Linked DNA regions of Notamacropus eugenii. The protein of the gene in region 2 interacts with the protein of the main gene of each other region in a pairwise test. Links are inferred from orthologs where the notes say so. Each region holds a gene or a part of one and is shown on either strand. Other genes may lie near its edges. The genes, in order: TMSB10, ALAS1, POLDIP2 and PPL.

Region 1 (6,587 bases), about 730 Mb from region 2:
AGGATCGAGAATATTGGGTATATTTTCACATCATTTATTTTGTGAAACTACAGAATTTTAATTTGGCTTAAATGTTCGCCTCCCTGGGGGGGGGGAGAGGGAGAGAGGGAGAGAGAGAGAGGGGGAGAGAGAGGGGGGGGGAGGGAGAGAGAGAGAGAGAGAGAACGAGACCCAAAGCCTGCTCCAAGGGCAGTACCTTTTTGACCAAATTCCAGGACGGCCTTATCAACCGGGAGGCTCAGGGTGGAAACATACACCTCCAAGTTAGTTATAGGGAGTAATTGTGATGGGCTACAGCCTCATTTTTTCTATCATTTTGTTACAAAAGGAATTCCATTTCTAAAATCACCTGTGCCTCGAGTCCTACAGGCGGCAGCCATTTGCCACAGGCATTCTTTCGGCATTGGGCTAGGTCTGCCTTGTTGGCAGCAAGGTAGGAGGGGTGTTGCATGCCCATCAAGAGCATACAACCTAGGGAGTGACTGAGACCACATCAAGCATTTCACAATGTAATCTTTATTTTCATCAGTCATACAAATAACTTTCTATAATATCGCAGGGCAATCTGGTCAGGATGTGGCAGTTCGAGATTGTAAAGTCCAGTAAAGAACCGTCCGTAGAGGGGTGACTGCCCACGTCGCTGGCCCTCTTTCCCAGCGCATCTCTTCTTTAAATGTGGATAATGCAGGTGGCTATCTATGCTCCCTCGAAACCAGGACCGGGGTGGGGGGTGGGGAGTCCCTTCAAGGTGCATGTCTCTCCAGGATCTAAGAAATTTCACTCCGCTTCTCTTGCTCAATTGCTGCAGGACCAGAAGATACATTGTAGCCCAGGGATCCCAGAGGAGGGAGGGCGGGCACACGGGGAGGTGGGCGGGGGGGAGCCCGAGAGGAAGAGGGCTTGGGGGAGCCCGGGGACGCCGCCCGCCCGGGGGGTTTCTCCCAGCCAGGGTGGGCCACGGCGAGGGTGGGCTGGGGGTGGTCCAGGGGCTCCGGGGCGGTCGCACTCACTCTCTTTGGTGGGCAGAGTGTTCTTCTCCTGCGTCTCCGTCTTTTTCAGCTTGGCCTTGTCGAAGCTCGCGATCTCCCCCATGTCGGGCTTGTCTGCCATGTTCGGATCCCCAGAGGCCTGCGGGTCAAACGGACGGGGCTGACCCGGCCAGAGTCGCCCTGCCCCGCGCTCGCCGGACGCCCACCCCGTACCGCCCGTCCGGGGCTTGTCTCCCAGTCCGAAAGCGGCGCCGCAGCCGCTCACGGTCAGGATCTCCCAGCGCCGCCGCCGCCGCCACAAGCCCGAAGGCTCCACGTCCGGCGCTGCCGCCGTCGCCCCAGCTGCCGGCCCGGCCCGCAGCCCAGCACAGCCCGGCGGCGGTTCCTGCTCTGGTCCACGCGCGGGGCAAGGAGGGAGGGGCGCGCTCCGGTCGGCAGTGTCCGTCCGTCCGTCGGTCTCTACGTCGGCCCGCCACGCGAGAGATCCCCACGAGCCGCACCCCGCCCCGTCGCCCCCCGCCCGGCCCGAGAGCTCACCTCGCCCGCAGTCGCTCCCAATGCCTCCTGCTCCTGCGGCTGCAGCCAGAGACAAAAGAGCGCGGCCCGCCCCGCGCCTTATATAGCCCTCCGCCTCCGGAGGTCTGCCCCGCCCCCGGTCCGCCCCCTCTCGGGAGAGCACCGCCTCGCCGGCCACCGCCCACCCGGGAGCATGCGGTCGGTCAGCGCCTGCAAGCTAGGGGCGGTGGCCGGAGGCGTGTGCGAACGCATGCACACACCGCCGGGGACGCACACACACACGCACCGCCATGCACGCACACACACATGCACACTCCTTCCTGGCGCCGCGAGCACGTCCCAGACACACTCGAGCCCGTTCCCAGGGTTGTCTCCCTCCCGACTGGTCTTTCTGTTTTCTTTTTGGAAGGCCCTGTCTGCAAGACTGTAGAGGAGACCCTCTCCCGGGCCATCCCTCCCTTCCGCCAAGTTCTGGCCCAGCCTGCTCTCTGCTGGTGCCCTCCAGACCTTTGTTTCTCCCGGGTTCAAGCCCAGCCGGCGGGCGTGCATCCTGATTCCCGCGCTCGTGCGGGCGGGATCAGGATTGGATGCTCCATCACCGCAGTCCCACCTGCGGTGGCTGCTGCTGCTCCGGCCCCGCACGGCATCCAGAACCTTCTGCCCCGAGCCCCCTAGACCTGGCGGATGGACTTCTTCCATGCACCGTGGGCACACGGTGCAATCTCTTTCCCTCAAGGGCGGAAAAGTCTGGCCTCCCGGCTTTTCCCGGGAGACTTTTTTTTTTATAAGCAGATCTGGCTCAGCTCCCATTCCCCAATGAGATGGGGTCATGAGGTAAACGTGCATCTATGAATAGGTGTATATCCGTATATGCACACATGTGTAATATATATTTGTGTATTTCCATGCATATACATTTATAAACACACACATAGAGACGCGGGCATATATACATGTGTGTATATAATACATATTACACACACACACACACAAACACCCTACACTAGTTCCTCACATCCATCCATCCATCCACATTGCAGTTACAAATTAAGGACGCCAGCTTTCTCAAGTTCCTTAACAGAAACTTCTCTGTTATACTGAAGTTTTATTTTAAAATGAACCATCAAACAAAATTTAAAACTCCCACCGTTTCTTAACTCTCCCCCTTTTAAATGATCCTCGCGGAGAAAATTATGCATTCTGTTACGATGCTTTCGGTTAGCTTCTGCAAAGTCACTGTGGAGAAGGGGTACGGATGAAGACCAGAGGTGCGGAAGGCTTTCTGCAGCTCCCCGACACCCCACCCCTAAACTGGGTGGGTCTTCATTTCTGCTGCGCTTCTCCTGGTTTCTTATTCTGGTTTTTACTTCCAGATTCATTTCTCTAGTCTGGTAGCGTTTTCTCTGCGTCTCACAGGGAAAGAAGAAGCACAGTCAGAACCATGATGAGACATGTAAACGGATTTCAGTTCCTTGCCCCGGGTTTGTCCCCCCAACCTTACCCTACCCGGTCTGAAGAACCATGACTGAAGGAAAGCAGAAGGAAAACTGTCCGGCAACAGGATAAAATTTATTCAGAAAGAAAAAGACGCGGTAACATGGGGCGGGGGCGGAAAGAGCCCGGGTTCTGGAAGTCAAGGACCTGTTTTCCAATTCCTCACTTTATGTTTACTACGTGTATGACCTCGAGCCAGTTCCTCTAATGTGGGAATCACGGCTATCCTTGACAACAACTTAAGAGGTTTCAAAAAACCTCTCCCAACCAGATCTGAGTGTACCAGGGGTCATTTCGGGGGATGCACCTGCCCCTGGTCAGTAGTTCCTTTTAGGTCTACCATTGGGGCAGGACCTTTAAGATGCACACACACACACACACACACACACGCACGCACAAATATAACACATATATACATGTATAAAAGACACATATGCATATATGTATGTAGATATACATATATGTATGCATGCATGCATACAGAGAGACAGACAGTCTTTTTATCCCTAGGGCCTTAGACACAACCAGTGAATTCAATGCCACTAATATTTTTATTGTTTTTTTTACTTAAATTTATTTATTTTATTCTGAACTTAAGAAATAAAACAAGCATTTCCATAACAAAGTAGATAGAAAAACAGAGGATTGCAACTGAAATTGCAGATCCATCCTGTACAATTTGCTATTCCTTTCATGTGTACAAGTTATCATGTGACTTTTTAAGCCCTCCCCCTCTCCCCAAATTTTGAGATGGCTACCACTAGACACAAATCTGCGTGTATAAGTGTATATACATGTGTATATAAATATATGTACATATACATATATACACATATACATGTACTTAATACATATACATATATCAGTTCTTCTTCTGGATTCAAACAGTATCTTTCTTCATAGGATCTCTGTGGTTAACTTGGGTATTTATTATAGTCAGAGTGACCTGGGTGCTCAAAGTTGTTCTTAAAACAATACTGCTGTTACTGTATACAGTGTTCTCTTCGTCTGCTCATTTCACTTTTTATTATTCTATGGAGGTCTCACCATGGTTTCTAAAATCGTTGAACTCATTAGTTGTTATAGCAGAGTAATATTCCATCATGAACATGTACCACAATTTGTTTATCCATTCCCCATTTGACGGGCATCCCCTCAATTTCCAGTTCTTTGCCATCACAAAGAGAGTTTCTATAAATATTTTAGAACATGTAGCTTCTTTTCCATTTTACCCTAATCATCTTGGGAAACAGACCTAATAGTGGTTTTACTGGGTCAAAGGGTAAAGGCAGTTTGATAACTCTTCAGGCATAATTCCAAATCTCTCTCCAAAATGGCTGGATCTGCTCACAGATCCACTAACAATGAATTAAGGTGCTGATTTTTCCACATCACTTCCAACATTTGTCATTTCCCCCTTCTATCATTTTAGCCAATCTGATAGGTGTAAAATGCTATCTCAAAATTGTTTTAATTTGCATTTCTCTAATCAGTAATGATTTCAAGCATTTTCTTTCATATGACTATAAATAAATTGTTTTGATTACTTCATCAGAAAACTCCTTGTTCATCACTAACATTTATTAAGCACAAATCGAGTGCAAGACTTTGTGCTAAGTGCTGGAGAGAGACAGACAGAGAAAGAGGGAGCCAGACAGATAGGGGGAGGAGAGGGAGAGGGAGGGAGGGAAAGATAGAGAAGGGAGGGGGTGAGAGAGAAAGAGAGACAGGGTGGGGGGAGGAGGAGAGGTAGGGAAGGGAACACAGAGGTGGGAGGGAGAGAGAGACAAAGCTTTTTTGTTTTTTGTTTTTTGGTTACAAAGGAAGGTTCATTGAGTGGTAAGGGGACAATCTGTGCTGAACCACAGCTGGATACAATTCACCTGAATTACCCACTTTTCCAATGAAAGTAAGTTTCCTTTGATCTTGTCACTTTCAAGTTTCAATAGATTCTCTCTAGCTCTAGGAGTCTGGTATATTGAAGGCATGCTTGATCCCTCTCAGTCTTGTATTTTTCAGACTCTTTCGCCTGTCCTCAGGAGGCTGCCTGCCCAGAATGTCCTGGTGTGAGCTGAACTGGCATTGTCTGTGTCTGGATTAGAGGAATGCACACGACTTCAGGGACTATTTCTGTCACATCAACTATTCCTGCTCGTGCTTCTTGTTTCCTCTTTCGTCTATATGCAGTCACAGAAATCTGCTCAACCCCCAAATAGTAAATCCCAGGAGAAGTCAGCCTGGCCACCTCCACTGCCTTCATTTTAGATGGGAGGAGCTTGAGCCCCAGATAGTGTCAGCCAAGGAACTGAATAGCTGTAACAGGATTTGATGTGCTTGGCGTGTATTAGATGCTTAATAAAATGTTTGTTGATTGTCTGAACTCAGGAATTAAGACTCCAAATATTTTTAGGTAAGAAAAAAAAATAGGGACATTACCTTGGCCAAAAAACTAGAGAAGAAATAGAATAGGGAAAAATGATGCAAATATGGTTGCAAATACTATTAAGTCAGATTTGTCTAGTGCCTTTCTTGTAAAGAGCTCAGTTCTTCGCACATAATTCTCCCAGCTTTAAGCTTCATTTTAAACTGAATCATCAGTCAAAAACCCTTTGCTTATTATTTGTGTGAGACAATTATTGTACTTTTCTGACTTCCTCTCTACCCAATTACCAGAAAACTGAACCCCTCTGGATACTTCATTGTCTATTTTCTATCTTGGATATAATATGCATAATCACCCATCTCTTCTCTTTTAATGAGTTCCCTTTAGGACTCATGTTATTTTTCCCAAATGTATTGTGAAAATTTTGCTCTTGTTTAACTTATAGCCAAATTTTCCTCTGCTATCCTGTTTTACTTCCTAACCTGACTTTAAAAATAGGCACTAAATTACTCGCTCAAGGTAAATAGTAAATTATACTAGGTAAATTAAAAACAAAAATAAGATTATCCTTTACTAGGACCCCTCCTCAGAGAAGTGAGGCTGATAGTGAAACATACATAGACACTATATATCTGTGTATATATATATATATATATATATATATATATATACACACACACATATATGTATATATAATCTAATTTTCAATTAACAAGCATTTATCTGTCCCTCCCACACCTTACCCCATTGAAAAAAGAAAAGAAGAACAAATCTCTTAACAGATATGCATAGACAAGCAAAATATATTTCTTCATTGGCCAAGTACAAAAATGTATGTTTCTTTTTATTTCTTGTATCTATCACCTAAATAGTATGTTTCATCATCAGTGTTTTGGAATCATGATGAGTCATTATATCAAGCAGAATTCTTAAGTTTTTCAAAGTTGTTTGTCTTTGTAGTGTTGTTTTTACTGTATAAATGATTCTCCTGGTTCTCCTCACTTCATTCTCCATCAGTTCATACAAGTCTTCCTAGATTTCAATGAACCCATCTCATTCATTCCATTCCATTAATGTAATTTGTTCAGGCATCCCGTTTAGTTTCCTGTTCTTTACTATTACAAAAAGAGGTCCTACAAATTTTTTGTACTCATGAATCCCTCTCATTTTCCTTTGATCTCTTTAGGTGTATAGGCCAAATAGCA
Region 2 (7,847 bases):
AAGTTAAAAAAAAAAAAAAAGATGGAAGTGAGTCAGAATCACCCGCCCTCCCGTCTACTAGTAGTGAACTAGTCATTTATGAGACCACACTCTTATGAAAGGTTAAAAATTCATTTGAATCACTTCAGGAACTGATTAAGTGATATATCCCAATAGCCTTTTGTTTTCATTTCGTTCCTGAATATAAATTCAAAGTAATTAATCTTAAGCAATCATGAGTTTGTGACTTGGATTATTTCCAATCTTGATCTTGTCCAAAAGTGTTTAACAGAGCTCACTTGGGGGTATATCCACTTCAGTAATTAAAACTTTTTCAAAGTTTCCTTCCTGTTGATATAAGAAATTATCACCTTAGAACCTGATCTGCACAAAGAGACCTCTGGTCTCATTGAAAGGATAAACTGCTTCATAGAACTAACCAAGAAACAGAACAAAAAAGATCCTAAGATTTTTACTAAATGAAGTTCAACTGAAATTCACATTCAGGAAATAACATTTATAAACAAGTTTTATAGTTCACAAGCACTACCTATGTTCTCATTTCAGTGCTCTGAAGGAACACGCTGCCTTCAAACAGTTGGCTGGTAACTGTGTTTCTAATGTGAATGACCTCCCTTTCCCCTTGAACAAATTAGATCACCTTTCCTTCTAGAAATGTTCTTCCTCACTGATGCTGGAACACCCCAATGAGTCACAGCCTCGCCTTTCCTACAGTTTGTGGAAAGTGTTTCACTATTGTTTTTCTTTCCCAACTTCAGGCTAGGAAGGAATTTCAAGTTTATGTCAGCACAGATGACTACAGTAACTGATGGCAAATTAAAAAAAAAGAACAGTCTACAAACATTATCACATTTTCCCCCTAAAGGATTCCACATAAAAGTCCTCACTGTGGGTATACAACTAGGAAACCCCTGGAATGTATAGACTTTAGGGGACTAGAAATGGACCTGAAAAGAGGTTCCCAACCTCTCCTAACAACTGCCAGGCCAATATAAAAATTACAGTTGCTTTTCCTTTTTCAGAAATAAAATGAAACGAAGGTGGATGAAACAGGGGGGGGAACAAATAAAAATCATGAAAGAAACTTCACACTCAGAACTGCAATTTACAAAGCTAAATGACGACAAACTTGGTAAATGTAAAAAAAATGTTGTAATTGAACATTAAAACTTAGCATTTAGTGTCCCACGATAATGAAGCGTCTTCTAAGACACAAATGCCTAAAGATTATGAATAAAAAGCACAGCATGTAACAAGGGAAACGTTAAAACTGCTCTGGGTTTAGTCAAAGATGGGGACACAGTAATAGTTCCATGATGATGAAATAAATAAACGAATACTCACTCTCACTGGCTGGAGGTGTTTCCTTAACTTGCTGGAAGTGAGTTGGTGAACTGGTCATAGCCCGAGAAGCAGGTTTGGATCCAAATTCCATCATTTTGGGGCAATTCTGGGCGTAGAAGAGCAGAGATTTGCCAGCCTTCTGGAGAAAGGTTTGGGGTACTCTTGACAAGAATGGGCAGCGACGAACAATGGTCTCCATTTTGAGGGAAAGGACAGGATCCTGTAAAACCATTGGCTGTGAATACCACTTCCTCCACCACCACCACCACCACCACCACCAGCGCCGTTGCCACCGACAGGTATCAATAAGCTTGGAATAATGTTAGACCATCCCCTAGGACCTTTCCTTCCAAGCCCAAAGGACCAGGTATCCACTGCAACCTAGAACTGAGCAGCACTGACATATAAAGAGAAACTATGTTGCAGGAAAGTGTTCAAATGTAACAAGTCTGAGGCTGTCCCACTCTGGCACAGCCTAGCAAGGCACACGATCAGCCCCGATGGTAAATGGACAAGCATAAATCAAGAAACTCTTTGCAAAGTCTGGTACTTTCAGAAATGGCTGGGGGGACAGAAAGACCACAGAATGGCTGGACCATTACTGATAGGGAGAAGGTCCTCTCACGGCGCCCCCACAGCCCCTAAGGGAAGAGCCCGGGCTGCAGTCCTTGCGGAAGGGGCTTTCCTGGTGCCCCCAGGGCCTGCCAGGCCAATGTGGTTGGGAATGGCATTGCCTCCCCCTGGCCCACGAGCAGTGGGGGGCATCATTCTGGGTTCCCTAGGTGGAACCCATGAAAGACAGTAACTGGGAGTCTTGGGAATGGGATGGGAAATAAATGGGCCATCTATGGGGGGCCAAGGTCTGGGGATGAGGGCAGAGGGGGGTTGGGGTGGGGTTAAGTGGGAGTCCCAGGGAGGGGAGATCCAAGAGTGGGGGCACAGGGCTGATGGGAAGAGAAGACCAGGGGGTCCTGGAGGAAAGGCCCGGCCCAAGTGATGCCGCTCCAGTGTCACCCCAAGGGAGGAAACCCGAGGAGGGGAGGGGGCACTAGCGAGGAAGGGGATGAAGGGGCGGGTCAGAGCGGGCCTTAAAGGGGGAGGGGAGAGGAGAGGAGAGGGGGCGCAGGGACCAGTGAGAGCCCTGGGGCAGGGAAGCTGGACCACGGGAGCTCTGGGGCGATCCAAGGTGGTGCTGGGGGGGCATTATCGTGGGGGAGGGCGGTGGGACACGGATAACCAGAGGGAGTGGGGGAAGGGCAGGATCACGGGGAGGGGGGAGAATAAGCAGCGGAACACGGATAAAAGGGGGTCCTGGGCAGGGTCTGGGGGAGGCGGTAGAATACGGATAATCGAGGGTCCTGGGGAGGGCAGGGACCACGGATAAGGGGAAATCTCGGCGAAGGGCGGCAGGGGAACACGGATAATCGGGGGCTCTGAGCACGGTCCGAAGGAGGGAGGATCGGGGGGCAGTTCTGTGGCGGGGCAGGCTCCGAGGGGAGGTCGCTCCGGCCCTCACCTGAACAGAACCGAGGAGGTGGCGGCTACGGCGAGGCTGGGACCTGCTGGCCGGAGCGACTAAGGTCACAATTCTGCTTTCTGGCTGGAGAAGGCGTTTAAGGCCGCCCAAGCCTCTCAAGTTATAGAGAGCGAAGGCCCAGCGCGCAGGCGCAGCTCGGCCTTTTTTTTTTTTTTTTTTCTTCCCGTCGCACTACTCGGCCCCCTCCTTACGCACTCCTTCCGGCGCAGACGCAATTCAGCCCCCGCCGCTCACGGCGTCACGTGCCCGCTCACGGCGTCACGTGCCCCGTCCAGCGCTCGCCCTCCCCCCTCTCCTGAACGCGCTCGCAGCGCTCCGCGAGGCCGGGTGGGAACGAGGCTGGAGGATTTAACCCTTCGGCTCCCAACCCGCGGGGCCAGGCCAGAGCCCCCTAGGGGCCTGGGGTCGCCTCACAGCCTGTTCCCCCTCGCGGCCCCTTCGCTGTCCCTGCCTCGGACGAATGCTGAGCGCCACGTCCGTCCTTCCCTCCGGACAGGGTCCTCCACGGGGTTTTGGAGAGTGGCACGGAGAAGGCCGTGGAACTGAACAATTGAATTAGATTTTACAGATGGGGAAACTAAGGTTGAGAGAAGGGAAATATATGGGGAGGATAACTGGGTGAGCAGAGGGGCTGGCGTAGACAGGCCTCCCTCTGATCAGGCAGTTAGTGCGCATGCTCGTCCCTCGGTGCCGAAGGCCGTGACGTCAGAGGAGCAATGACGTCAGAGGAGCGATGACGCCAGAGGAGCGATGACGTCAGAGGAGCGATGACGCCAGAGGAGCGATGACGTCAGAGGAGTGATGACGTCAGAGGAGTGATGACGTGGCTTGCTCTTGACTTTGTTTTGAGTGAGGGAGGGCTGTGCAGGTCACCAGCCTCATTTCTCCTCCAGAGCCATCTGGATCCAGTGACCAGACATTCATCGGGATGACTGGAGATGACCCAGGATGAGGCAGTTGGGGTTAAGTGACTTGTCCAAGGTCACACAGCTAGTGAGTGTCAAGTGTCTGAGGGGAGATCTGAACTCAGGTCCTCCTGCCCCCTGCACTGGGGCTCTATCCACTGCACCACCTAGCTGCCCAAGTCCGTTAATAAGCCTTTATGAAGTGCCTTTCATGGGCCAGGCACTTCGCTAGGTGCTAGGAGTGCCAAAAGAGGCAGAAGGTAGTCCCTGCCCTCAAGGGGCTTATAGTCTAACGGGAGAGAGACAACACGCAAACAAATATGTACACTATCGATTGTAGACGGGATAAATAGAAAATAATTAACAGAGGAAAGGCATTAGAATGAAGAGAGATTGGAGAGAGTTATATATTAAAAAGCTATGAGAAAAGATAAGGTAAAATGAAGTGACTATGGACCTTTAACCTTAAAATATTATTCAGCCTACTTTTATTAGGCACCAGCCATGTCCAAAACACTCTAGAGAGAGTGGGGTGGGACTCAGAAACCTTGTCTGTTGTCCTTGTTCAGTCGTTTTCAGTTGTGTTCAACTCTTCCTGACTCCGTTTGGAGGTTTCTTGGCAGAGATATTGGAGTGGTTGGCCATTTCCTTCTCTAGCTCACTTTACAGATGAAGAAATGGAGACAAACAGGTTCAAGTGACTTGCCCAGAATCATCCAGGTAGAAAGTGTCTGAGGCCAGATTTGAACTCAGGAAGATGAATCTTCCTGACTTCAGTCCTAGCATTCTATCCACTGTAGGAAACTTGAGTCTGAGACTTAACAATGGCACTTAGCTGGATCCTGAACTAGACTTTCCTCTTCCATAAAATGGGGATAATTATAATTGCACGATCTACCTCACAGGGCTTTACAGAGCACCATAGAAATGGGAGTTATTATTAAAAAGGTAGTCAAGAGACCTGGAGAAACTCCCAGAACATCAAGTGGATCCTCTTGTGGAAGATTGATAGGAAGCCTGTGGATAAAGGTTGTGTAACCTTTGGAGATGTTGAAATCTGTAGTATTGTAGGGTGTACCCACACCGAGGACATGAAAGATCCATTTCCATGGAGGGCAACGTGTACAAAATTCCTGAGCCTGGAATTAAGAGACCAGCGTTCAAGTTTCAGCTTTGTCACAGTGTAACCTAGAGCAAGGTTGAACCTCGGTTTCCCCATTTGTAAGATAAAGGATGATCTCTAAGGTCTCTTCCAGTTCTGACATTCTACATCCTAAGGTTCCTTCCAATTCTAACATTTTATGTTCTGTATTATAAAGTCCCTTCCACATTTTCATTCTGCACAATGACATGATGCTAAGAACATCTTGGATAGGATGAGAGATTCTTAAATGAAATCCTGATGATATAAATCAAATGACTCTAATGCCTAAAGAGGCAAATGTAACTGCATCCATTGAGTTGAGGGTTTTAAAGGACATGGAAAAAAAGATGGAAAAGAGGGTATACAACAGTGAAAGCAAATACAGAAAAATACTGGAGCTAGTCCAGTAAGGATGGCATCATAAGGATGAGCCCAAGCTTGCTAAAGATGTTCTGTGTGCGTATGTTCATCCTTCATTGCCGAAGAAGACCATGCCATCAGAGAAATGATGACATGACTCGCACTTGACTTTGTTTTGAGTGAGGGAGGGCTGTGCAAGTCACCAGCCTCCCTTCTCCTCCAGAGCCATCTGGGCCCAGTGACCTGATATTCATCAGGATGACTGGAGATGGCTCAGGATGAGGCAATTTGGTTAAGTGACTTGCCCAAGCTCACACAGCTAGTGCGTGTCAAGTGTCTGAGGTGAGATTTGAACTTAGGTCCTCCTGACTCCTGCTCTATCCACTGCACCACCTAGCTGCCCCAGCCAAAGATGTTAAAGGCAAAGGGAAGGACTTTTAAAAAGTGGTCTTGCAGGCAAAAAGAGGAAGAAGCAGAGGATAGATAGGCAGTTCTGGGACAGATGAAGCAATAATAACGGATTCAAAGAAAGCAGACATGTACACAACACCTAATTATTTCTGTTTTCTCAAACATAGAGAGCATTCTTTAAACCAAGACAAGGAGAACTGTCATATTAGTGAAAAACTGGAGCCCAAAGGAGGAAAAAGTAGATAGTGAGGGAGCAGCCAACGACTTTAAATAGGGCAAGTCATCATGCAAGACCTCAAATGTTATCCTTTGATTTCAGAAGATCTTGCAGAAATGACCTGGGTACAGGAAATGCACATAGATAAAACCAAGAGCCATTCCCCAGTTGATAAGTGGTCAAAGGAAGTTTTCAAAAGAATTGCAAAATATAAAGACCCAATGAAAATATGCTTCAAATTACTGATAGAGAAATGCAAATTGAAATAGCTCTTGAGGTTTCACCTTACACCATGTAAATTGGCAAAGATAACTGAAAAATCCAGTTAATGTCAGAAGTTCTGTGGGTAGACCTGCTTGTAGATGAACTTTTGGTGGAGTAGAGTAGTCTAACTATGGAATTTTGCAATAAAAGGAACTAAATTGTCCGTGTTCTTTGACCCAGTTATTCCACTACCGGCCAAGCCCCAAGGATGCCAAGAACAAAAGGACAAAGTATGTACCAAAACAATTAGAGCAGCACTTTTTTTTTGTAGTGGCAAAGGCCTGGAAACAAAATGCATATCCATTTATGGGGGAATGAATAAAAAATGTGATCTGTGAATGTAATGGAATATTATCGTGCAATTAGAAATGACACATGGAATCTAGATAAACAGGAAAGATTTGTATAAATTGATGTGAAGTAAAATAAACAAAACCAAGAAAATAATATGTACAATGATCGTAATAATGTAAATGAAAAGATCACTAAAAGAAATTGAACTCTGACTAATGGAAAAACCAGTGAAGGTCTCAGAGAAGAGATAATGAAACGTATTTTCTCCTTTACTGCAGAGAGTGGTGAGAGCAGACAGTGACACTGCTAGGATCTATTATTGTGTATGTTGTCGAATGGAACATCTACATTAGAGTTTTTTATTCATTACATGTTTTTATTTGTTTTTCTTTGTCACTAGAAAGGTTTAACGTTCTGTACAGACAAAAAGCATCAAAATGTGCTTGTACATGTGTGTGCATACACACATATATACACATATACATACATATGCATATACACATATACATGTATTTTATATACATACACACATATATTTATAATGTATAACTAGCCAATAAAAAGCCCTTCAAGCATGCACAATGTCCTTTGCCTGTGGCCAACCGTCACTGAGGCCTGGTGAGACTTCTCTCAGGTATGCATGATGGATGGACCTGCCCTCCTCTTCAGAGAATATGCAAGCATTCTGTGACTATTTCTTTTGTCTTGCTTCATAACGATGAAATCCTTTTAATTGGCTGCTCTGTTTCTCTCTCCTTGGCAGCTTTCAAAGGAGGAGGGGAAAAAAATGCTACAAATCTCTGGGTGGAGAAGTCCTGCCTGTACCTGGTCACCATGTGTCCTCAAACATACGGTACTTTTGTTTCTTCTAAAGCTGTTGTGTTTATTCTCCACTAGTCCTAGGTGAATGATTATCTGAGATAGAATGGTTTTGTGAACCTCAAAAGGTCAAGAGATAAACCAGAGGTTCAGGGATGGGATTTCACAGGAAGTTGACATAGCCACAGCAGCCAAGTTCAGTGAGTCAGCACAGCTTCTTGACCCAGGCCAGCAATGGATCGATTGACCTGGTAACAGAGAAACCATGTTCTGAATGCCACGATGGCTCCTATGGGACATGCAGAAGTAAACTCAGTGGAAGGAAGGTTTTGTAGCTCTCACTTTACCCACTCTCCCCAGGGGCTAAGGTAGTAGAGGAGAGTGTTGTCCAGTTCAGGGGAATGTTTTACGGCAATTGCTTTAACAGTTTGATTCCACTCTAGCCAAGAACCAAGATGTATAGGGGAGAAATTGACCTGCTGGTCTGAGCGTGGGCTGGAAGGAGAGGGAGCCCAGAATCTATTTATCTGCAAAGCCTGAGTCTAGGTTTGC
Region 3 (7,848 bases), on a different chromosome or scaffold from region 2:
GGGGTAACTGTGCCCTTCCAAGCCAAGTGGCAAAGTGCTTGCTGCTATGAGCCCTGAGCTCACTCCCCTCCTGAGCAGATTCAAAGGGCCTTCTTCCACTTGCATCTCAGTCCCCCACCAAATCATCCCTCCATACACTTAAGTGAGGACCCCTGAACAAGTCTATTTCCTCATCTGTAAAATGGGGATAAGAGCAACACCTGGCCCTGAGAGCTGCTGTGAGAATAGTCACGTATACATAAAGCACTCAGAGCACCAGACAAATGTTAGCTATTGTTACCATTATTCAGGCAGCTAAGTGGCCCAGAGGGCAGAGCGCCAGGCCTGGAGCCCTGAAAACCTGAGTTCAAATCCAGACTCTGACACTCACTAGTTGTGTGACCCTGAGCAAGTCACTTTGCCCTGTTGGTCTCATTTCCTCATCTGTAAAATGGGCTGGAAGGAAATGGCAAACCCTTCCAGTATCTTTGCCAATACAACTCAAATGATTCGACAAAAGTGCTCATCATTATCACACACTCCGCTGATCTGACCCCACAAGTCAGCCCCGGTTCATGTGCAGCACAGTGGGACCACCCCCAAAGCTGAGGGGCTCAAGCACTGCACTCGTTGCCCTTAAGACAAGTGGCCAATGCCAGGGACTAGAAAGGGCAACCCCCACCACCCTGGCTTCCCCACACTCACCTGGCCTGTCTCATATTTCCCATTCTGCTTTGGCACCTCAAATACGCCAACTGTTTCCAACACTTTGCCCTCTGGTCGGTTTCTGAAGAGAAGAACACTGAAGTAAATGGTTTGGGGCACTCCATCCATCAGGAGAAATGACCGAGCTACTGAGCTTAAGGGACAGAGCAAGCTACGTGGGGAAAGTCTGAGGATACTCGACCCATCACCACATGGCAGGTGCTTTGTTTTGAGGCCACTAGGGGGCAGTAAAGTCTGAGCTGGAGTCAGGAACATCTGAATTCAAATTCAACCTCAGACCCTTATGGGACTGTACAAGTTGCTTCACCTGCCTGTCTCAATTTCGATTGTAAAATAGAGATACCAACAGCACCTACTTCACCAGGTTATCAGAAGGATGTGTACCGTGACTGGTACACAGTAGGTGCTCTGTAACTGTTTCTTCCCTCCTCCCTCCCTTTTATTTGAGAGACAAGCAAGGGCTTCTAAAGGTTCCAATCAGGACAGTCCACATGTTCTTGGGGCTCATCCCTAATTCTAGGCACTACAATAAGTGAAACCCTCTCAGTTTCTAGTCGGAGCTGGGGAGACTCCCTGCAATGCCACGTGCTTTGGGGATGCCTCTCTGATTCCCCCTGAACCTTCCAGGCTTCTTCATCAGATGTGCCCACCACACCTTCCCCTGCAAAGACACGGCAGATGAGACCGGCCCCCTTTCCCCCTCGAGTCTCCAGCAGGAGCCACAAGGAAGCCTGGGAGTCCTTCTGTGACCTCTGGTCAGACTTTAAACCTCAGGGAAGTCCATGCTCAAGCACAGGAGACCTAGGATGTTGAGGCCTAAGAATTAAGCCTAGAAATTATGGCCAAAGGAGAAGGCAGCATGGCACAGCTTTGGGGCTGGGGGGGAAGTGGCTTCAGGTGCCCACTGTGTGACCTTAAGCAAATCATATATCCCTCCTGGGCCTGGGTATTCTCGTCTGTAAAATTAGGGAGCTGGACTCAAGGGTCTCAGATGCCTCACTGCTCTACAAGTCACCTGCAGGTTTGGACCCCTGAGTCCAAATGCCCCTGGCAGATGAGTAGCACAAGGGCCCTGCTAACCACAAACCTGAATAGAGGCTTCTTGGGGACCCCCCCTTTCCCCTACCCCACAATTCAACAAGAATTCACCGAGCACCCGCTACAGGCTCAGCACTGAGGATTCTAGGACAAAAAATGAACTGGTCCTGTGCCCAGGGAGCTCCCATGCGACCCGCCTACCATGAGCTAAGGACAAATAGAGACACAAAACAGAAACCAGAGTCTCCAGGCATCCCGCCCTCCCCCCAGCCCGCTGGCCAGGGGTCACAGCTTCCTCCAGGCTCCCTCACTTGCTGCCCTGCTCAGGCTCCATGCCCTGCTGGGGCTCCCTATCCCCCCCATCAAACTCCTCCTAACCTCACCCTTCCCATCTTCCCCCCCTCCCCCCACCCTCCGTCAGGGCGCTGGCCCCTCAGCTCTGCCTCTCTCTCCCTTCTTCCTTCAAGGCTCCATGCCAATCCCCTCTCCCCTGACTCTTCTAAGGGCCTAGTTACAGCCTGTCCTCTCCCTCGGACTGGAAGCTCTCTGCAGGCAGGGGCGCCCGGCATACAACAGGTGCTTAATGTCTGCTTAGGGGCTGAACGGGAGCCCAGGCACGGTGCCGCCCCCTCCGCGTGTTACCTCCTCTCATCCCAAGCGGTTGTTGCTCATCCTGCCTCCCCCATAGGATAGGGAGCCCCCCAAGGGCAGAGCTGTCTTCGGTACCCCAACACTTTGCCCAGGGCCTGCTCCCCAGGGGGCGCTTAATAAATGCTTGTTGTGTGACCGTTTGGTGCTGGTTTGCAAACACACACACAGACAGACAGACAGACACACACACACGAGCTGGGGGACTTTGGACAAATCAATCAGCCTCTCGGAACCCCAAGGCGGCCCTTTCTAGGGTTCTGGGCAGCGAAGCCAGGCGCGCCGTCCTGGCAGGGCGGGAGTCCCAACTGGGCCGGACGCAGGCCCGGCCCCCGCCCCCCGGCGCTTCCGCTCTCCTCGCCCGCCTCCCCCGCCCCAGGCCCGGCCCCCCGGGCCCGCCCCCCGCCTCACCGCGACGAGAGGTGTCTCCGCGCCGTGGCCGCGGCCGGGGGCAAGGTCGCGAGGGGCCGCAGCGCCCGGGCCCCCGCCAGCTGCCGGGGCCACCAGCAGCAGCAGCGGCCGCCCACGGCTAGGGCCCGCCGGGCTACGCGGCCCGCCATGTCGGCGCCTGGGCCGCCGCGGACGCGCGGACTCGCTCACGGTCACAGACGCGGACGCCGACGCGCGGCCCTGCGTGCCGCCTCCGCCGCGCCGCGCCCCGCCCCCGGCCCACAAGGCCCCGCGCGCCGCGCCCCGCCCCGCCCGGAGAGGTCGCTCTAGGACTCGCCCGGAAGTTCTCGGCGGCCCCGCCTCCGGTCACCTGACACCTCCCGACCCAACATGGCGTCCTCCGTGCGCGCCGGGGAGCGGCTGCGACGGGCCCTGAGCGCCGGAGGGGAGCTGGAGGCGGAGCGCCTGCCCCGGGAGCTGCGGGCGCGGCTGGAGGCGGCTCTGAGGAGGAAGAAGGCCGCCGAGGGCGAGGGCGAGGGCGAAGACCCCCGGCCCCTGGTGCCCTTCCGCCTGCTCCGAGAGCTGCACGAACACCTCCGGGAGCAGGGTGAGAGCGAACTCCGGGCGGTGGGAGGGGAGAGGGGCTCGCCGCGTGCCCCCGAGCCGCACACGTCGAGGCACCGCGTTCGGATGGCAGCCCCCGTTGGCCTCGCTGCCGGCCGGGGTGACCCCGCGCGAGTCACGCGCGTCTGAAACCTGGGTCAGCCTCAGAGGAAGGGGCGGACTGAGACTCCAGTCCCGCCCCCTTGCCGCCCCAGATGTCAGTCTCCTCTTTGGGGGCCGTCCTGAGGGATCCCCAACACTTCCGGGTCCGGACCCCAGCAGGCCGCCGCTCCTCTTTCACGCTTGGCTCCTGCGAACATCGAGGGAAAGGAGATTTAAATGACTCGGCGATCGTTAGCCCTTTGGGGCCCGCTCGTCTGTGCCCACTCGTGAAAGTAACCCGAGGGATCGTGCTTTACCTTCCCCCTTTTCCAGGCCTCTTCCCCCAGCAGTCACGGAAATTACTCCCAAGTCAGTCGTGATGCCCCGCCTGCGCAGCAGGAGTCACTCGTGGGTCAGGCATTTCTCATTGACAAATCCCATTCGGGGGTCAAAGTGAGCGGCCCCCACCCGGCAGACAGGGTGGGAATCACCGTACCAACCTTCTTTTCCTAGGGTCCCCTCCCTTCCTTCACGAACTCCTGGAAGGCAGTGAGATCCATCTCCCAGAGGTGGTGAGACCCCCCAGGGTAGGTAACAGGTGATGGGGGCGGGGAGCCTTGGCCCAGTGGGTGCTTGTATTCACCTGTAGCATCGACCCCCTCTTAGGTACAGAAAAGCCTAGACCTAGAGAGCCTGAGCTGCTGCAGCCTCATGACGTTAGATCTTCCAAAATGACATCCCCATGGTAAAGCCAAGTTTCAGTGTGTCCGACTGTGGCTGATCAGACCAGTAGGAGCTAGGAGTGCTCAGTCGGTGTGCATATCTGGGGTGGATGCTCCACATCTGCGCATCCCACCTTTACTTTGTGCTGTCCCAATTCTGCTCAGTTTCTTCAGGATCAAAAGCCTTAGATCTAGAACCTTGATGAGAGCTAGTGAGGCAGGGGGAGACTTTGGGTGGGCCAGGGGGTTCACACTTCCCATGTTGTCCTGCCTCAGAATCCAGAGCTGGTCGCCCGCCTGGAGCGGATCAAAGTGCAGCTGGCCAACGAGGAGTACAATCGGATCACCAGAAATGTTTCTTGCCAGGTGAGGGCTGACAGTTCATGCCTCAGACTATGTACAAAGGCTTTTTTTTTTTTTTTAATCAGGAAGAGAACTATAGAGGAAGGAAGCATGATTTCTGCCTCTAGGGTCTTCCTTGGGAAGGGAAAGTTTCTTCATTCAAAGATTTCCTAATCTGATGGGAAAGAAAAACAAAAAATACATGGTTAAACTTTGTTTAAAGACAAGTTCCGTTATGGCTCTGAAATTAAAACAAAGCCATTTCAACATTAAATCTTACCTTCCTCAAACAATAGGTATTCCTTAGCTTCACTCAGGACAGTGGATGGATGGATTAAAAAATTCAACTAGTAAGTTGATGGTTCATACTCAACAAAGGCCAACAGAAAGGAGGTTAAGTTGCATGGAACCATGGAAATACAGAGTGTATCGATGCTCCTAATGGTTTCATTGTAGAAGGATGTGGCACAGGAGAGATGGGTTTCTTTTTGGCCCCTGGAGGTCTGTTCTAGGCACCAGAGGGCTCTATTTAGAGAATAAACCATGCCATACTTTTCTAACAGCTTTTCACACATCTTTTTTGGTTCCTTATAACAACTCTGTTAAAATAAGCAGAGAATATGGTATCCCATTTTACAGATGAGAAGACAAGCTCAGAAAATTTAAGATCAAGCTACGGTTGAATAACAGACTCCATTTGCTGTGTGCTGGGCATTGCTATGGGTTGGGTACTGGTGAAACATTTTTTTTTTTTAAATCAAGGATCTTACGTTCTAGTAGAAAGTTTACCAAGTACTTTCTTCAGATTCTTTAACATATCCATTATACAAGTATTATTACCCCATTTTGTAGATGAAGAAGCTAAAGCCCAGAGAGACTGAGTGTCTTCACAGCTAGTGTCAGAGCTGAGGTTAGAATTCATATCTCCTCACTCTTCTTTGTCCAACTGCCCCACAGATCTCCTAGCTAGCAAGTGACCAAGTCAACTGATATTTTGGTCATGGCCCATTAGAGAAAGCCCCCAGCTTGTTCGAGCAGAAAAAAGAAGTCCTGTTCACTTAAATCTTTGGAGGCAAAACCTGGGGCAGACTGTGTAGTCTACAAACGCCAATTCTCTCAGTGTTGATGATTGGAGATCTGTAACTTACCCCTGCGTTGCAGCTTAGGCAGAAAAAGTTAAAATTGGCAACGAGGAAGAATGTGAGGAGTGCCCTGTGCTAATCTTAACTGAACACTTCTGTATCATGGCATACCATCTGCCTTTTCTTCTTCTCAGGCCACAAGGCGCAATGGGATGCTAGCTGACTTTGGTTGCCAAGGTGAGACACTCTGGGAAGCTGTGGGACAGGAAGTTCGTCACCACTATGATCCTTCCCTGCACCAGCCCCCTGAGTTGTCTGAGATCCTTAGTTAGAGCGGGGAGGGGGCTCGCATGCTTATATATGTGTGCACACGCCTGCTTCCTGCAGTGCAGAGAAGAGGACTCCCCAGGATATGACTGAGCTCTCTGTCCCATCTCACTTTGGCTCCCAGTGAGGTCAGTGAAGGCAGTGGTCATCTCCATCTTTAACTTCATCGTCACTGTGGCAGCAGCTTTTACCTGCACCTACCTTGGAAGTCAGTACATCTTCTCGGAAATGGCTGCGGTAAGGGGGCATTGGGCTAGAGGAGTAGTCTACCAGACTGAGGACATGGGGTATGCTTCTAGAAGGTAGCAGAAGGGCGGCAGCTAAGCGTTCGAGGGAACAAAACATAAATATGCATATAGAATACAAGGGTGAGCCATCATCCCCAGAGAAACTTGGTCCCCTCATGGCGTCCCTATGTGACCTACCCAGACACGGGAAGGCGCCAGAACTTAAACTTTTTTCTGGGGGGCTGGAGGAAGGAAAGAGCAAGAGACTTTGTAGGGCCCAAAAGCAGGCAACTATCTCCATCCCACTGTTTCTCTCTCCCAGAGGGTGCTGGCAGCAGTAATCGTGGCCTCTGTGGTGGGTCTGGCTGAGCTCTACGTCATGGTTCGGGCCATGGAAGGAGAACTTGGAGAACTTTAATGCTTGGTACCCCACTTGGGTACCAAGGATGTTCCATGAATCCTGGGATGGGGGGCTTTGCTCTGTCTTTTCTTCCACACAGCTGCCAGCCTACTTCAGAACCTTGGCCCTTCACATCACTCAGCAGACACTCCTCTGCATGTGGCCTTGGGTTAAGGTCCAAGGAGGAGGACTGGGGCTGCTACCACACCCACTGCCTCATCCCTGCCCGTGCCCCTCAAACCCAGCCACCTGCATTGAACACCACAGGACTGAGGTCACTGCCCACTCCAAGCTGGTGCCCATTTGGACTCAAAGAGGAACAGTAGAGAATACTGAGGCAGGAAAAACCTACCCGTGCAGCCTCTAGCCAGACCCTGCAAAGGAATTTTGTCTATTTCAGTTTCTGCCTGTTTACCTTAAGATTTTTTTTGCTCTTCCTGGCATCCATCTTGGTGATTTTGTGTATGTTTCCCTCCCTTCGGAGTCTTTGAGGCTTCCTGCATTCAAAGCTCCAGGTCCTCTGATACAAGAATGGAGAGGAAGGGGTAGTAAAACCTATATGTCTATTTTTAACCACATAAGTCATTCCTCTGACTCCAAAGAACATACAGTCACTTCTGCTATGATGCTTGTTTTGAAAACTGTGAATCTGTTCCACTGTGATTGATATATTTGGGAACAATTTGAGCATGACTCAGATTTTGTGTTTGCTTACGTACCGTTTCATCTGACAGAAAACTACACCTGTTCATGATAACTCATAAGCATCCACCGTTCGTTCCAACACCCAGTTCCACAAGCAAACTCCTGGTCTTTTTCAAGGTGAAGTGCCCTATGTCTTATGGTGCAGTGGGAGCTATGAGCTGCCAAGGGCTGATCTGTGTACTTCTTCCCCCACCTTCCTTTCTGGCCAGCACCCATCCCTAGCCTAGGAGTTGCCATCCACTGAAACCACCCTCCCCCCCAAAGCAGCTGGACTCTGGCAACCTGGGCCCTGTGGGAACTGGGACTCTGGCAGAGCATCAGCTGAGGCTGCAGGGGCCATGGCTGTTTTTTGTACAGTTTATGTATTTCTTGACCATTTAATATGTATAGAACTGCTACCATTTTTGTTAGGTTGCTATCTTTTTTAAATGTGTCCCTGGTGACATTATCGACTGTTGTCCTAACCCCGTTCTCCCACAAACTTTGTTTTTTATTGCAAGATTTTTGCATTGCACTGTGGTTTTTAGGGACACGTCAAAGACAACAGCTTCAGGTTT
Region 4 (7,606 bases), about 80 Mb from region 2:
GGTAGGCATGTAAGTAATGACTTAATAAGTACTAGCTGAATTGAATTTCTTTTAGTTTCTGGGCCTCAGAGTTCTCTGTATGAAGAGCCTAGAGATCTTGGAATGATTAAAAAAACAGCCCTATTTTGGTAGACATCTCCCCCTCCAATCACCTACAACTATGATTCTATGAATAAATTCTTGATTGGTTAATTAAAAGAAAACTCTCTACACAGGAAACTTCTAGATAGAGTGGGCACTCCATAGGAAATTTTTTGATCGACCAATTGAAGAGCATCCATACAGCCCTTTGCTCCGTCCTCTGGATCTTCTTCCTTTCCAATTGCTAAAGGCCTGGGATGAAGCTATTACTTTCCACAGAGAATACTTTTCTTGGAATTAGAACCAAGAGCCTTTCCCTTTAAATGTGCCAAAAGCACCTACCTTGGTGCCCTGGGGAGAGGCCCCACATCCACCTGCTCATTTATTTTGAGGAGGGGAGTATGATTTACTCAGCCTTTGCATAACCCAGTAGGGAAGGGGTGGGGCAGTTGGATGGTATTCATTATGTATTCCATTCCCCCATCTCTGTGCCATCTGTTTGCCCCTCCCTCCTACCCTTATCCCCCCTTCCCTCTCCCCACCAGCAGAGAAGAATTCTGACTTCAAACAAGTCAGGAAAGGGCATTTCTTTCCACTTGCTTTGCCCAGAGAACCAGAGCCAGATTTATTTCCCATTTCCCTTAGTGTTTTTACAAGTGACCAGGATCTTATTTTTTTTTTCTACAGACTTAAGCTTTAAGGTGATGGGAAATAAGGGGGAGAGATAGTAAAATAGGATTTGGGCTACCCAGGGTTTTCCTAGGAGCAGGGGTGGCATACAGGAAAGCAAAACAAGGCAAGGTGAAGTGGATTTTAAAGGAATTGTGGCAGAGAATGCAGGAGTCCCTTGAGAGAGAAGAGCCTTCTGAGGCTGGCACAGAGCATCTGATTGTGCAACAATGTGGAGAAAGGCAATGAGGAGCTGACCCTGGTCTGGTGTTGATAGCTGGGTCAGGATACAGCCAGCTGAAAAGAGAATTGTCCTTTCCTTTTCTACTGCCTAGCCCAGACTCTGTAATCTTTTGGGAATGGGGACACAGGAGAGCTGAGACCTTGCAGGGAAAAGAAAATGGAATAAACGTTATTTCTCTAGAAAAAGTCAAGGCATGAGATTATCAGCGCTCTTTCCTTTGAAAAATTACTTTGTATTACTTTGTATGTATATTTTTTCTTTTTTCTTTATTTTTTGTATTCTCCAATCCCAGCACAGCTTCTAGTACATGGGTGCTCAAAAAAAAAAATAAAAAACATGTAGAATAGAATTGATGAAGAATAACTTTGGAAAATGATTTATATATAAAGGGGAATTCTGTGACAACCCTCCACCCCATCCCTGTTTAAAATCTCATTCATAAAGATGTCCAAATACCTGCCGGATGACCCAAAACAGCATCAAATCCTGGACAAGGACTCAGGGCCCTAGGAACAAACCTGTTTAGGGAATCTGAAACCCAAGTTCTCACTGAACTCTCCTGGGAAAGTCCTAGTTTTCACACAGGTCCCTCATGGGGAAAAGGGCAGTGAGAATGGGATAGGTTGGATGCACAGACTGAAGAGAAAGGAGGTAAGAAAAGTTATATACATAGGGGATGAAAACTGTTATCAGAGAGAGGGTCAGTGAGGTGGACTATTTTTAGATTACTGACATTTTAGAACACTGATACCCCTTCCTATCTGGTAGAGAGTTAATGGAGTTAGTGCAAAGATCCCACTTGGAGTCAGGACACTTCCTTTGGAATCCAAGTCTAACGCGACTGTTTTAATCTCCCTGAGTCTTGACTTAGCCCATCTGCGAAGTAGGCATAACAATGCCTGCGGCACCTGCCTCAGGGCACTGTGGTTTGGAAAGACCCCCATTAAACTCTACAAATTCGAATTATTATTCCATCAGTGCCAGGCATTCCTTCCGACCCCAAGCTCTCAAAGTACCCACTTTGGCAAGAAGCTGGAGTAGCTTTTCCTAGTGAGAATCCGAGGACCCCAGGAGTCCTTCCTATGCTGCCTGCCCTTTGGAGGCCAGAGGAAGTCCAGAGTTCCACCCCGCTGCCATCTCCGTCTCATCCTCCCCTCCCCAAGCTGGCTCTGCCTCTGTGTCCGAACTCTATCTCGATGAGGGTTTTCCCAAACCGGTTATTAAGTGAGCACATTAGTACTTATCAAACCAACGTGGGCTGTTGCTTTAATCCAAACACATCAAAACATGCTATTCTCCTTTCTCAGGCAGCTCTTCCAACCTGAGCTAATGAGGTGCCTGCCAGTTTCGAGGCTGGGGTGGAGGTGTACGTGGGGGGGGAGTCTGGAGCCACACCCCTGCCAGGACTGAGCACCGACTCCGTAAAGGTCAGCCCCAAAGACAGGGTGGTGCTTTGTGGTTCTGGCCCCCGACATCCTCCCATGCCCGAAGGTTCAGCCTCCCCTCCAGCAGGACCCTCCGGCTGCACTGGCGGCCGCGGCTCCCGCAGCAGGTGGCTGGACGTCATTCGGCAGGTAGCCTCGCGTCCCCTCTCCCTGCTCAGCCGAATCCCTTCCCCTCCCACCCTCCAGCCAGCTTAGAGCTTCTCCTTGGGGCAAAGGAGCCCATAGGTGCCAACCCGCCGCCGCTTCCTCACCTCCTGGTCTGCACGGTGGGGCTGTATTTGCCTTTGTTTTTCTTCCTGAACAGCGAGTTCATTCTGCCCTCGGTGTGTGCACAGCTCCTGCCCGCCGGTGTGCGCCTGTGTTTGAAGGACTGGGGGTCTGGAGCGGGGCAGTTGCGCAGGGAGGGTGAGCGGGAGCCCGGGCAGGTGTGAGAGCGGCTGTCAGGAGAGCCCCCAACTGCAGCCCGCAGCTCTAGCTCGGGGTCACTACTCCAGGGGGGCGGGGTTGCACTGCCGGGTTGGGTCTAGCTCCAGAGGCTGTCTGTCCCTCTCCCTTTCCTGGGAGAAGGTGGTGCTTACCTTCACGTCACCCAGGCGGGTGGAGCTTCCCACCCTGCTCCCCTCCCTCTCCTTTTTACCCACACTCAGGGTGTGAGGCGGCACCCAGGACCAGTGCGCACATGCATAGGGCGCGCGTGAGAATCACTTTTGTTTCCTTTTACATAGGCACCCAATGTTTAAAAGGGAGATGGTCGTGAAAGCGTGGCACTGGCATGGATGAGGTTAGAGCAGACGGGCATCAGCTGCAAGTTCAGCTGCAAACTCTGTGGAAAGTGCCAACCAAGCTCCCTCCCTTTGGCCCGGAGTCTTGGCTGTGACCCAGCTCTGCCCCACAGACTACAGATGCTGAGGGGGTTTCCGGGTCTGGCAGTAATGAAACCCCTCATAGCAAGACTCCAAAGCAGGGCTTCCTTAATTTGGGCGCACCCAGGCAGATTTTTGTCCCAGGGACAGCAAACCCAGAATACGGGTTAGTAGGCACATATAACATGAAGGATCCTGCAGGGCCAGGTTTCTGTACGCTGGAAATTAAAGAACACACCCATGACATATTACCACTTCCAGTCCTTGTGAACTTTTCAGGTTCAAGAAATTTGAGTTGCAAGGACTAATGTGGAAATATGTTTAATATGCTTGTATATCTATAGGCTATATCAGATTGCATGCTGTCTTGGGGAAAGAGAAGGTAAGGGAGGGGGAGAGAATTTAGAACTCAAAACCTTATAAAAGTGAATATTAAAAACTAAAAATAAATAAATACATTTAAAAAAAGAAATTGAGTTGTAAGCATGATAGAAAGAACTTGTCAACATCTAAAAGCAAATTTATTAAAGTTTAAGACAGCTGCATAATACAATCATAAAGCATGCTCTTATTTTAGATCTTGTTTCATATAAAAATATCCGCTATAGATAAAAATGTCTATCTGGTTTTCTGGTTAGCAGAGTAAATCCTGGATCATCTATGAGAAGAAAATAATTAGTTTTTCCATGTCATTCATAGACTATTTCTATCATGCTTACACCTGATGTATTCAAGTTTTAAAACTGTAATAAAGAGTTAAGGAAGATCTTGTGTTGTACAGTTAGTAAGACAGCACTTTGGAATGAGAAATTACATAGAGGGACATCAAGACTATCGTCAGGCAAATGTATGCCTGGGAAAAAAAATAGGCATGGGACATAATGAGAGTGAGGGGTGACCAGTGTACTCCGTTCATATTTGTGCAATGTCAAGAAATCTCAGCACATTGGGCAGATCCCCTGTGGGGAATTTACGATAGGACAGGTAAGAGTTGCCCAGGACTGTCAGACATTGATGAGTTGTGATCTGCATTGTGAGACAGAATTGATGAAGGCACAGATTCACTGAACATCAGAAAAGATGAACTACTTTTGTGTTAAGTGTATGGGTGGCACAGCTACCCCTGGAGCCACTACAAGTGGAATCCCTGCTAAAAGTAGATCTCCCTCCCTTCCTTCTCTCCTCTCTTCCTTCTCTCTGTGCCTAGCAGACAGATTATTCTGGAATTAAGGATCATTTATTTTTCTGGCCTATGAGATTTCTGCTGTCTAGTGTGAAAGGTCCCCCCACTCTCTAGGAGGCCTAGACTGTTCCACCTAAACAACCAATTATAGAGATTAGCAAAGGTTTTCTGGAAGGCCTGGATTCAGGAAGAACTGAGCTCAAGTCTAGGCTCAGATTAGCTACATGACCTTGAGCAAGTCATTTAACCTCTGTCTGCCTCAGTTTCCTCATTCATAAAATTGGGATAGTAATAATAATGCCTACCTCAAAAGACTGGTGTGAGAATCAAATGATGTAAGATTGGTAAAGCACTTAGCACAGTGCCTGGCACATAGTAGGGGCTATGTAAATACTTATTCCCCTTTTGTTGGGATGATGCATTTTGAGCCTTGGTCGTATTCACCCATTCCTTCTACATCCATCGCTCCACTCCTCTATCCTTGAAGCATCTTTTAACAATCCAGACCTGGCATATCAGAACTTGGCTGCTAGCAGTGCTTAGTTGGCTGGTTCCCATGTCTGCTGAGACAGGTGGCAGGATGTTCCAGCCAAGACTTCTGTCAATGAGGTTTAGTCCATGCCTAATGCTGTCCATCTCAGCCTTGAAGATCAATAACTGCTCAGGGAGTGCTCCCTAGAGGCATGATTCTTCCAACTCTAAGTTGTACAGTACACACAACCAACTGAAATTCAACTAACATTCAGTTAGTGACCACTGTATGCAAAACACTGAGAAAAACCCTGCCCTTGACCTGAACAAAAGTTTCCAGTCTAGCAGGGAGAGCTTGCTTCTGGGCAGAGGGGTAGAAGGAAGTTCTGTGCAAGAGATAGCAGCATTTGAACTTGTTTTTTTTTTAAAAGATTACAATAATTACAATAATATTGCAAGATTGCAATAGTCAGAGATGGAAGATAGCCACTCATGGATGATGGGAGGAACAGGATCAAAGGATGTAGGAAAGTGTGTGTTCGTCCTTTGTTGCCAAAGAAGACCGTGCCATCAGAGAAATAATGACATGACTTGCACTTGACTTTGTTTTGAGTGAGGGAGGGCTGTGCAGGTCACCAGCCTCACTTCTCCTCCAGAGCCATCAGAATCCAGTGAGCAGATATTCATCAGGATGACTGGAGATGACCCAGGATGAGGCAGTTGGGTTAAGTGACTTGCCCAAGGTCACACAACTAGTGAGTGTCAAGTGTCAGGGATGAGATTTGAACTCAGGTCCTCCTGACTCCTGAACTGGTGCTCTATCCACTGCTCCACCTAGCTGCCCCTTAGGAAAGTTTAGGATGTATTAGGAGAACTGTGAATACTACTTTGGCTAAAACACAAAATGGGTGAAAAGGGGGAGTGGGAAAGTGGGGAATCAAAGGTCATCAGGCTGGTAAAGTGTCATCAGGATTGAAGGATTGCAACTGTAGACTTGTACCCATCAGGTCAAGCTAGGAACTGGGAATTCAAGGGAAAGAAGTTATAGGGATTCAGGAAATGATAGTTGACATTTATATAGTGTTTCACATGCATTGTTGCATGCGATCCTCACAACTTTATGATGTGGGTACTACAGGTATTCTCCTCTCCATTTTACAGATGAGGAAATTGAAACTCAGATGTGAAATTACTTGATCATGTTCAAACAGCTAGCAAGTGGCAGAGCCAAGATACTGACCCAGGTTTCACCTGACTCCATGTCTCATACACCATCAGCTACACCATATTGCTTTTCATATCATAATTCTTAGGAGAGGATTTGGGATGGCAAAAGGAAAGAAGAAATGTGTGTAAGATAGATGGATCAATAGGTAGAACCAAGTCCTGTATGGAATTCAGTAAGGGAAACGGTGGGAGTAAGCATTTACTAAACACCTACTCTGTGCGAGGTACTCTCCTAAGTGCTTTGTAAAGATTATCTCATTTGATCCTCAAAACAATCTTGGGAGGTAGGTGCTATTATAAGCCCAATTTTACAGTTGGGGAAACTGAGGCAGCCAGTTGTTTGTGTGTGTGTGTGTGTATGTGTGTGACTTCCCCAGAGTGACATAGCTAGTAAGTGTGTGAGGCTGGATTTGAACTCAGGTCTTTCTGATTCTAGGTCTAGTGGTCAACAAAACTCAAACTATCAAAATTCTCATTTTCTCCGGACCCTTGAATTATCTTCCTCCACTCAGGGAACTCTTCTTAGTGTCTACACCTAGAGGAATGACAAGTGGTAGTTAACTTTAGGGGGAGCACTTTGGCATATCAACCTGGCTATGCATCTGTCTTCATGTTCTAGGTCTTTTGTTAACAAGAGGGTCTCAAACTGACCTCAGTGGTATATAGCATGGTCGTCCAAGGTTGGAGAATAGTTGTAGATTCTTGTTTTAAAACTCTCTTACAGATTCCCTGGTGATAGGGCCTCCCTGTCAGTGGCTGAGAAACTGAGGGATCCATACTAGTCCCCTTTTTCACCCCATGGTTTCTCAGGCCCCAAGCAGCCTTGGGGAGAAATCCAGATGACTCAGCTGGACTGGGGCCAGACTAGGCTAGCCCAATTAGCAGATTCAGGGAGGAATATGAATTGCTGTTCATGAGGGGACTGGTTCTCCACCCTTTAGAGGTCTAGGAGCAGAGGAGTATGTGCACCTATATGTATGTGTGTGTGTGTGTTTATCAGTGTTCACACAGTTTACATTTCTGTGTCTGTATGTTTGCATCTGGATATAGTGATGGTTATCTGAAATATCTTATTTATTTAAGTAACTATATATATATGAGCTCAGTTTGCTGTAATGAATAGAGCTGACCCAACAGTCAAGAAGACCTGGGTTTAAATCCAGCCTATAACATAAATTGTGTGACCTTGGACAAGTCACTTAACCTCTTAATGCCCCCAGGCAAATCCTTAAGAGGATTATGAGTTTCAGTTCTAGAGATAACCAGCTGGTAGTGGGAGTTTCCTTACCTGGAGCTGCCCATTCCAGTGAAATCACAGGTCAGGTCCAAATAAGCAAAACCATCTATCTGTGTATAGTGGAGCCTTCCCAGAATCATGGGGTGGGAAAGATTGCCGCTGGAAGCCCACAGAATCCCTTGCTGA

Evidence for each region.
Region 1: the proteins of ALAS1 (region 2) and TMSB10 interact in binary tests that used the Homo sapiens proteins (3 or more experiments, as listed by UniProt). The two-hybrid records come from large-scale screens. The link is inferred for Notamacropus eugenii from reciprocal best matches to the Homo sapiens genes ALAS1 and TMSB10.
Region 3: the proteins of ALAS1 (region 2) and POLDIP2 interact in binary tests that used the Homo sapiens proteins (3 or more experiments, as listed by UniProt). The two-hybrid records come from large-scale screens. The link is inferred for Notamacropus eugenii from reciprocal best matches to the Homo sapiens genes ALAS1 and POLDIP2.
Region 4: the proteins of ALAS1 (region 2) and PPL interact in binary tests that used the Homo sapiens proteins (3 or more experiments, as listed by UniProt). The two-hybrid records come from large-scale screens. The link is inferred for Notamacropus eugenii from reciprocal best matches to the Homo sapiens genes ALAS1 and PPL.

What each region holds. Positions count from the first base shown.
Region 1 is NC_092872.1:727,696,375-727,702,961, forward strand, and holds TMSB10 (thymosin beta-10), read right to left. Parts: upstream 1,638-6,587; 5' UTR 1,527-1,637; intron 1,412-1,526; exon of another isoform or gene 1,129-1,411; 5' UTR 1,111-1,128; coding exon 1,011-1,110; intron 803-1,010; coding exon 768-802; 3' UTR 501-767; downstream 1-500. UniProt on the Homo sapiens protein: Plays an important role in the organization of the cytoskeleton. Binds to and sequesters actin monomers (G actin) and therefore inhibits actin polymerization.
Region 2 is NC_092872.1:2,462,240-2,470,086, forward strand, and holds the start of ALAS1 (5-aminolevulinate synthase, non-specific, mitochondrial), read right to left. Parts: upstream 3,013-7,847; 5' UTR 2,861-3,012; intron 1,565-2,860; 5' UTR 1,544-1,564; coding exon 1,345-1,543; intron 1-1,344.
Region 3 is NC_092873.1:35,677,373-35,685,220, forward strand, and holds the start of POLDIP2 (polymerase delta-interacting protein 2), read right to left. Parts: upstream 3,003-7,848; 5' UTR 2,952-3,002; coding exon 2,803-2,951; intron 767-2,802; coding exon 685-766; intron 1-684. Other genes in the region: VMA12 (transmembrane protein 199), read left to right, coding at 3,172-3,388, 4,000-4,073, 4,485-4,574, 5,827-5,869, 6,084-6,196, 6,509-6,604. UniProt on the Homo sapiens protein: Involved in DNA damage tolerance by regulating translesion synthesis (TLS) of templates carrying DNA damage lesions such as 8oxoG and abasic sites.
Region 4 is NC_092872.1:82,288,744-82,296,349, forward strand, and holds the start of PPL (periplakin), read right to left. Parts: upstream 3,009-7,606; 5' UTR 2,753-3,008; coding exon 2,691-2,752; intron 2,569-2,690; exon of another isoform or gene 2,441-2,568; intron 1-2,440. UniProt on the Homo sapiens protein: Component of the cornified envelope of keratinocytes. May link the cornified envelope to desmosomes and intermediate filaments. May act as a localization signal in PKB/AKT-mediated signaling.